Rattus norvegicus: one gene and its partner. The protein of the gene in region 1 interacts with the protein of each later gene in a pairwise test. Links are inferred from orthologs where the notes say so. Each region holds a gene or a part of one and is shown in the gene's direction. Other genes may lie near its edges.

Region 1 (4,189 bases):
TTCCTTCTTTTGATGTGAATGTTCATATTTTCATTAGTAATTGTTAATAATTTTTTAATTTTTATGAGTGTTTCTGTCCGAATGTGTGTCTATGAACCACATTTAGGCCTGGTGCAGTGCTGAAAAACATATCAGATTCTCTGGGACTAGAGTTATAGGCATTTTTGAATGCATATACGGGTGCTGGGAATCAAACCTGAGTCCTCTGGAAGAGTAGCCAATGCTCTTTGATTGCTGGGCCACTTATAATCGGCTCATTACTAATTACAGAAAAGATTATTTTATTAATGTCTTGTACTGTGAAGGTTTTTGACTTACTTTAGTTTTCATTTTTCCCCCCTTTACTTAGTATAACCTTAATCTTCCCTGAATGTTTGTGCAAGAGGGTCACTGTATTCAAAGGAAGATGTTTAGGTCTATGATGTAAGGCAACTAGTTTATGAGCTGGAGGGAGCTCTTGCAACTTCAACTTTCAATAGCATTTTGGTCATCTATAGCCACCAAGACTTTGTTCTAGAGCTGGAGATGTGGTGGCCCAGGTCTTTAATCTCAGCACTGGGGAGGCAGAGGCAAGAGGAGGCCAGTCTGGTTGACTTAGCAATGTTCTATAATAGCCAGAGCTACTTAGTGAGACCCTGCCTCAAAACACAAAACAAAACCAAAGATGTGACCGGAAGGGTTGTTTCTTCATGCCCCACCCCTAGACTCCCACAGGGTTCTTCCATGTAGCCTTGGCTGTCCCGGAACTCACTTTGTAGACCAAGATGGCCTCAAACTCACAGAGATCTGCTTGCCTCTATCACTCGGAGTACGCCACCATAACTCAGCTCGTTGTGGTTAACTTCATTCACTCTGACATGCTAGTGGCTTCCAAATCGCTTTCACTTTCTCTCTTGTAGAAAATGAAAACTTGTTACTATTGTATTTCTAGTAATCAAAGTCATGAATGTGGCAGCAGCAAGCAAGAGGGGGCCATAAAGATATTATACAGGGAATTCACTATATTCAGGAAGAGTTGGTTCCGGCCTCAGAAGCGTACAAGATGTCCAACAGGGAGGAGCCTAAGCGGTCAGTTTGACCCCAAACACACACAGCCTGCAGGCAAAGCGCTGGTCTCCCTAAGGCCTGAGGCAGCGGGCCGGTTTTCCCGGCCCCGCTGAAGACCTAGCGGTTCTCTTGCTCCAGGAAAGTAGCTTAACCTTGACGATTTCATCTCCCGCATTCCCTAAGGCGTTTTCCCGCTTCCCTTTCCCGTCTTCCCAAACTCTCCTCTGCGCGCTGCGGAAGTGACGCAAGACGTAGCGGAAGTCCCTGCAGCCGCGGTGTTGTGCTGTGGAGAAGAGACGGATTTGTAAACCTCAGAGTGCGGTTCTGCCTGCCGGAGGCCGCTGTGGTGCGGAGACCCCCGGGTGAATCCACCGACACCATGTCTGACCAGGTACCGGGCCACGGCCTTGGGGCTCAGGGCCGTCGGCTGCTGGCTGAGCCCCTGGAATGGGGCGCGGGGGGAGGGGGTGATGTTGGGGGAGGGGGCTGCCGGTGGGGAGGGGGCCGCGAGGGACGCCGAGCGCCTGGCAGAGTCGGGCCGAGCCGCCTGGGATCGAGGGTCTCCGGGTTTTACGCACCCTCCGCGGCCCTTTCGGAGGCCTCTACCCCCACGCCATCCAGCGCCGGGTCTCTTTCGACTGCTCCCAGGTTTCTCTCGGGCTCGCTGGGGGCCCAGGCCCGCTCCCTTGTCCGTGAGAGCAACCTGGGGGAAAACGACCGTTTCCCTTTCAGAGGACCGATGGCAGAAACAAGGCCCTAGGCCCAGTTATGTAACGGGAGAGAATCCCTGCCTGGGAGGCTAGGTGGCCCTGAAAAGCAGCTCGATTCTACTTTGGGTTCTTGGTCCCGGAGAGTGGGGGGCGGGCAGGGATCCTTGTTTGGGGTGACTGGGAACCCAGGAGACGCTGCTTTTCAGTTGTGTTTGCCTGGAGGGTCAGTCCGTCTTTGCCCACTTCAGAGTCATTTTTCCATCCGGGGGTGCGGAGCGGTCGACTCTTTCTCTGTACTTTCCATTTCTTACTCGGGATTGGTCCATCAACTCTCCAGTTGTAGGAGCGCTCAGAATAACCGAGAAACAACAAACTGCGTAGAGTGCCACCACCAACATGCCATCCATACGGTTTTTGTCTGGCTTTCCTTTTGTTTGGTCAGATGACTTAATTTTCAGAGTATTTTTTTTTTTTTTAATTTTTACTTCTTTAGTTACAATTCAGCAAACTTTTTTCATTCTACTTTACATTGTAGTTGAGCTTTTTTAAAATTTTTTTTGTTGGTTTTTTTTTTTTTTTTTTTTTTGAGACGTTGGTTTTCTGTGTAGCCTGGTTGTCCTGGAACTCCCTCTGTAGACGAGGCTGGCCTCCAGTTTATAGAGATCCGCCTGTCTGTTTCCTGAGGATGAAAGGCTTGCAACCACCCCAGACTGGCCATAGTGGTTCTATTTTTATAGCCTATCTACACTGTAAATTAGTTGTGGGATGGATTTACTTATTAATAATCTGGATTATTAATCTTTTGGGCTAGAAATGACTTTATGAAGCCCATAATTTGTTTATGACAGTTGTTTACTTAGTTACCAGAGAGGAGAGATCAGCTGTGTAAACGCTTATGCTTCATCAGACTTCTATTTTTAAAGCATGTTAGCCAGATGAGAGGGCAACATACAGAAAGAGTTTTAAGTTTTAGGATTAGTTTTGCTCTAGTTTGAACTTACATTATGTGAGGATATGAAGAAAGAAAAGAGGACCCTAGGACACAAGGTTTCAGGGAGTCTGCAAAGTCACTCTATGCTTGCTTAGGACTCTCTCACCTCACTTGGGGTCTTTGGGTGCTGGACCTAGGGCCTCCCACATGTGCTTGCCAGGCAGGCACTAAACCCTCATTTCTCCTTTTACTTCATTTCATTAAGTTGTCTAGGTTGGACTGTAACACACTTGTCTTTGAACTTGGACTCCCTCAGCCTTGCAGAGTAGCTGGGATTACAGAGTTATGCTGCCACACTTGGTGTGTGTGTGTGTGTGTGTGTGTGTGTGTGTGTTTCTCATTCTATCATGGATGTTCAATGAAAATTTTAGAAACATGACAAAAAAGTAGAACAAATCTTTTTTTTTGAGGCAGGGTCTTAACTATGTAGCTTTTCCTGGCCTGGAACTCAGTTTCTCCTGTGTCTGTTTCCTGAGTGCTGGGATTAAAGATGTCTACCACCACAGTTGGCAAAACAAGTCTTTTTTTTTAAATTGAGCTACACATTAAAGCAATTTGCATAGGAAATAGTGCTGCTACTCTTAAAATTTTTGTCTTTAAAAAAAGTAATAAAAATGTATCTAACATTTTAGGGGTTTATTTAGTTCAAGTCAAGGGTTTCTCTGTGTAGCCTTAGTTGTCCTGGAACTTGCTATGTAGATCAGATTGGCCTCAGATTTTCCTTGCCTTGCCTCTGCCTCCCAGAGTGTATACCACCACGACAGCTGGGTTGATAGGTTTTTAAATCATTGAGAGTGTGATAATGGATTTGGGAGCTGTTGCTTTAGGCTGATGGATAACATTAATCTTAGTTCCCAGAACAAGTTCAGTATTGAGTGTTAAAGATTTGGAGAAAACGGTTAAGTGAATCCTTGCCTGTAAGAGGTTTATAAGTGAGAGTAGGAATCCCCAAGTACTGTGTGTAATAGCAACAGCCTGAGACTGAGCTGTCTTCAGAAGGTGGCCTTAGAGGGTACTTTTTCAAGTTGGGGGGTTCGATAATGTGCTTGACTTGAATACAAGATGCCCTCCAGTACCCATGCACATTTTATTTTCTGAGGCAACTCTTAGAAGCTTGTATCTTGTGCTTAAAATAGTCACATTGAGTAATAGTTTCAGCTTTTCTCTTTGTTTTGAGATGCTCTCACTGTGTATCTAGGCTGGCAGTGATCCTTCTGTTTTTACTTTCCTGAGTCCTGGGATTACAGGTGTATGTGTATGCCACTGTGTCTTGCCATAATTTCAGTTTAAAATGAGTGGATCTTTATATCTAAAATAGATCACAATCTAATGCCTAAACCTTGAGAATTCACTGAATTATGCAGTTTTTTTAAAAAGAAGGTACTATAGGTCCCATCATTGGTACATGATTTCCCAAAGAATGAGGATCATTCTATAACCA
Region 2 (4,179 bases), on another chromosome or scaffold:
TCAAGAAATTCACCAGCCTCTGCCTGCGAGTGTTGGATCTAAAAGCTTGCTCCACCAAGTCCCGAAAGAGTCAAATATTTTCACATACTATTTAACAAGTACTTCAATCCAAGCCAAAGGCATCAGTTGTAATCCCACTAACAACCACCAGGGCGAGGTGCATTTCTTAGGTTCCAGGGAGTCCTGGAAATCTGGCACCATGTCATCTGCGGAAGACATAGGTGTAGAGGAACAAAAGACCCTCGTGCCACTCTCCAGCGGCTCCGCTTCGAATGCGCCCGGTGGCACTCCCCTGCGAGGGTCACTACCCACGGGGACAGGACTGAAGCGAAAAGCATGCGGTGACCCAAGGTCCCGTCAACGTGGAGGACAGGCGCCGGGCAGGCCCGGGAGCGCGTGCTCGGCCAGGCACCGACGGTCGAGTTCAGACAGTCTAGGTTGCAGGGGCGCGAGCCCGCTAAGGGAGCCCGGAGGCGAGTCTGGGGCCCGCACCGTCGTGTGGCCCCGCCGCAATCTAGGCGCGCACGCCGTTAGCGGCCGAGGGCAAGGCCTACGGTAGAGCGCGATCGGGTCCGTTCCGGGCCAAGTTTCTCATCCCCACGGTTTCGGTTCTGATGGGTCCCAAGTTCTCCCAACAGATCCCACAAAATGGAGGCCGACATCTCCTCCCGCCACAGCCATGGCGGAGGAGGGACACCCTTCCCACAGGCCAGGCAAGGTGGAAGCGCCTGCACGGCCGCCAGCGCACCAGTGCCTTTGCAGTCCAGCCGCGGCCGGGCTCGCCCCCTCGGTCTGCCGCAGCCACTGCCCGGCTCGCCAGTCGCCCGGGCCTTGGGGGCCTGGATAGGGAGGATGCCGGGACATAGAGGCCTCGTCTCTCCTCTGGCAGAGTTGCAGGGGACCGCGGCGACCGTCTGGAGGCCGAGGCCTGGCGTCCCGATCCCCGGCCCACGGGAAGCCTCGACGAAGACCGCCAGCCCAAAGGCCGAAGCGCGAGGCGTACTGCATGCAGCACCACTCGGGCTCCTGACCCGGGCAGACCCCGCGAGTGGGGGCGGGACGGGGCGGGGCGGGGGCACGGAGGGAGGGAGGGATGGAGGGAGGGAGGGATGGAGGGAGGGAGGGATGGAGGGAGGTAGGGCCCGCCCAGCACGGGACAGGCGGCGCGGGGGTGGTGGGGGGAGGGCCGACAGGCCGGAGGGCGTGGCCCACGGCTTACGGACAGCCGCAGTGACTACCTCACGGAGAAGGGTCCTGAAAGAAGGCCGACTGGGCCAATGGAATCTGCCCGAGGCATTCCGGGCCGCCCTCGCCAGCAGCCAATGAGCGTGCGGAGGGCGGGCCTTTCCCGGACTCCGCGGCGCCACCGCCTCCTCTACCGCCTCCTCTGCCTCCTCCTCACCAGCGCTGAAGACGGTACTGGACGGAGCTGAGCGTAGTTGTTTGTGCGGCGCAAGGGGAGTGGGCCGCGGGAGGGTAGGTTCGTTCGGCGGAGCTGCAGCCAGAACCGGGTGAGGCTTCTCCCCGCTGTCTTTCCTGTCGAGGGCCGCGGAGAGTGGGGGTGGCTGGGAGCAGCGCAGCCTCGGGAGGAGGAGGCGGAGGCGGGGGCGACTGGGGAGGCGGAGATGGGCGAGGGCCGGGAGCCTCCCACCGAGCCGGGTTTTGCAGCCCGGGGCGGCCGGCGTCGCCGCTCCTGCGTTGGGGCCTCCGGGTGCGCTGAGGGCCGGGCTCATGTCCTGGGCGGCTTCGCTTGCGGCCTGAGAGGTAAAGGAGCGGGGGCGCGGCCGGGCGGGCTGGGTGAGGCGGGCGGCGGCGGCCGGAGGTCGCCGGGTGTTTTCCTTTCCGCCTTGAGGCCGGGCGGGCCGGGGAGGAGCCCTTTGGCCCTTCGGTCTGGCGGGGCGCACTCCTCCCTGTCTGCCGGACCGAGACCCCAAGTTTTCCGTGTTAGGGGGCGGCAGCTTAGGTCCCGCAGCGTTTTCTCTTTCGCTCTCGCCTGTCGCAGCTTTTAATCTCGTTTGGGCCAGTTTCTAATGGCTGACTGGTGCTAGTCCCGGGTTGCTGAACTGAGAAATAGGAACCTTAGGCCCAGGTCAAGTGCTTGCGGCAGATGAGACCCAATTGTTGAACCGCTCTCGGGTCGGATTGGTACTTGAGTTGTAACTGCTTAGGGGAAATATGAACCCCTTGCTGGCTTGGAGGAAGCGTTTACTCTTCTGCTCAGCTGTGCGCTCTACTCCTAATTCCGAAACTGGAAAGAATATATTGAGCTTTGGCCTGCTGTCGTTCTTTAATACTTGATATCCATTGTTTATTTGGAGGTTGGTAGAACAGTTTGGGAATAACTTCACCTTGATTTATTTCCTCCTTTGGCGTTCAGGGTTCGGTGCTACCTCAGAGCTGTTGATGCTCACGGTTTGTGTGTGTGTGTGTGTGTGTGTGTGTGTGTGTGTGTATTGTTTTGTTTTGTTTTGTTTTTGTTTTTTTTTTTGTTTTTTTTTTAAGATTTATTTATTTATTGTATATAAGTACACTGTAGCTGTCTTCAGATACACCAGAAGAGGGCATCGGATCTCTTTACAGATGGTTGTGAGCCACCATGTGGTTGCTGGGAATTGAACTCATGACCTCTGGAAGAGCAGTCGGGTGCTCTTAACCGCTGAGCCATCTCTCCAGCCCTGTTTTTGTTTTTTAATTTCCTTTTATTCTAGGATTTTTCAAGCCACTCTAAAGAAGCATTTGGCAGAAATAAGGAAAACATCTCCATTGTGAGTCATTTTGTATAGCTTTCCTATAGTGTGTTAGTGGATATTATAACATTGCTGTCGTCTAGGTTTCCTAAATAGGACTATGGTCTTATTCCTAAGATGCTGTGCACTTAACATTTTTGTGTTCCTTTCCAGATTTCTTTCTGCTGTTGTATTTTTTTTTTTTTTTTTTTTTTTTTTGGTTCTTTTTTTCGGAGCTGGGGACCGAACCCAGGACCTTGTGCTTCCTAGGTAAGCGCTCTACCACTGAGCTAAATCCCCAGCCCTCTGCTGTTGTATTTTTTAAACCACTAAATAATTATCTAAAATAAACGGGAAATATTTTTTAAATTACTGACATGTTTTAAGGTTGAGGAAAAACAAATCACAGATTATTTTTTTAAAAGAGTATATTTTACACGAATAGATGTAAAATATGTCTGTGTGCCACTTGGGTGCAGTGTTGAAGAAGTCCAGAAGAGGGCAGTGAATCCTTTAGAACCAAACAGCAAATTATGCACTGCACTTGGTGTGGGGACTCCTTTTGCTAAGCAGTCTCCTGATTACTCTAACCTGACTACTGGCGTTATTTCCTGCTATGTGGCCAGATTATATCTTATACTCAGCTCTGGTCTGTTTACTTCTATGTGTGCGAGCTGTTTCTGCCTACAGGTTAAGAACCTCTGCTTTAAAAGTACAAAGCCAGGAGCTGGAGAGAGGGCTCACTCAGCCAGTCCCTGTAGCCCAGAACACCCATACACAGTCAATACAGAAAAGAGCATGGCTATTCTCTGTGTAGTCCTGGCTGTCCTGAAACTCACTTTGTAGAATGAGTTCAAACTCGCCTGTGCCTCCCAATCGCTGTGTGCACTGGACCCTTTGTAGCTTTCACCTCAATGATGCTGGTTTCTTGTTTATCCCAGTCAGTTTTTCATGATGTCACACAAATGACCCTGTTAGTCTTTGCTGCCCTCTGAGACATCCCAAGCCATGCTTCCAGCAGCTGGATTTTCCTTCACACTCTTCTCTTACATTTTAGTGCCCATCATAAAGGGAAGTTGGGGCAGAAACTGAAGCTTCTTGCTTGGTAGCTTACCATGTGCATCTGCCTGTCTTCTACTGCTTAGAATCGATTGTACCCGCAGGCTTGCTTGCCTCCAGGCCAGTCTGATAGTGTCTACAGGTCCGTCCGTGCCCCCCCCACTTTAGCTTGTGTCAGGCTGGTAAGAAAGGAAACTACCAGCACAAAGCACTCTACTATCTCCATCCTTTTTGCTATTAAGCTTTTAATTTACACCAGCTCATTTTGAGATGCAATTTTTAATGCCTATGAATACCATGAGTTTTATTATTTGAAAACAATCTTTGTGATAAAAACAACATAGAGCACACAAATCCAAACAACTCATTGAAAACTTACAATTGAATGAAAGGA

Evidence for each region.
Region 2: the proteins of Sumo1 (region 1) and Zmym5 interact in binary tests that used the Homo sapiens proteins (3 or more experiments, as listed by UniProt). The link is inferred for Rattus norvegicus from reciprocal best matches to the Homo sapiens genes SUMO1 and ZMYM5.

Annotation. Positions count from the first base shown.
Region 1 is NC_086027.1:68,600,000-68,604,188, reverse strand, and holds the start of Sumo1 (small ubiquitin-related modifier 1), read left to right. Parts: upstream 1-1,385; 5' UTR 1,386-1,426; coding exon 1,427-1,438; intron 1,439-4,189. UniProt on the Homo sapiens protein: Ubiquitin-like protein that can be covalently attached to proteins as a monomer or a lysine-linked polymer.
Region 2 is NC_086033.1:35,054,036-35,058,214, reverse strand, and holds the start of Zmym5 (zinc finger MYM-type protein 5), read left to right. Parts: upstream 1-1,372; 5' UTR 1,373-1,511; intron 1,512-1,626; exon of another isoform or gene 1,627-1,764; intron 1,765-2,708; exon of another isoform or gene 2,709-2,765; intron 2,766-2,900; 5' UTR 2,901-2,996; intron 2,997-4,179. UniProt on the Homo sapiens protein: Functions as a transcriptional regulator.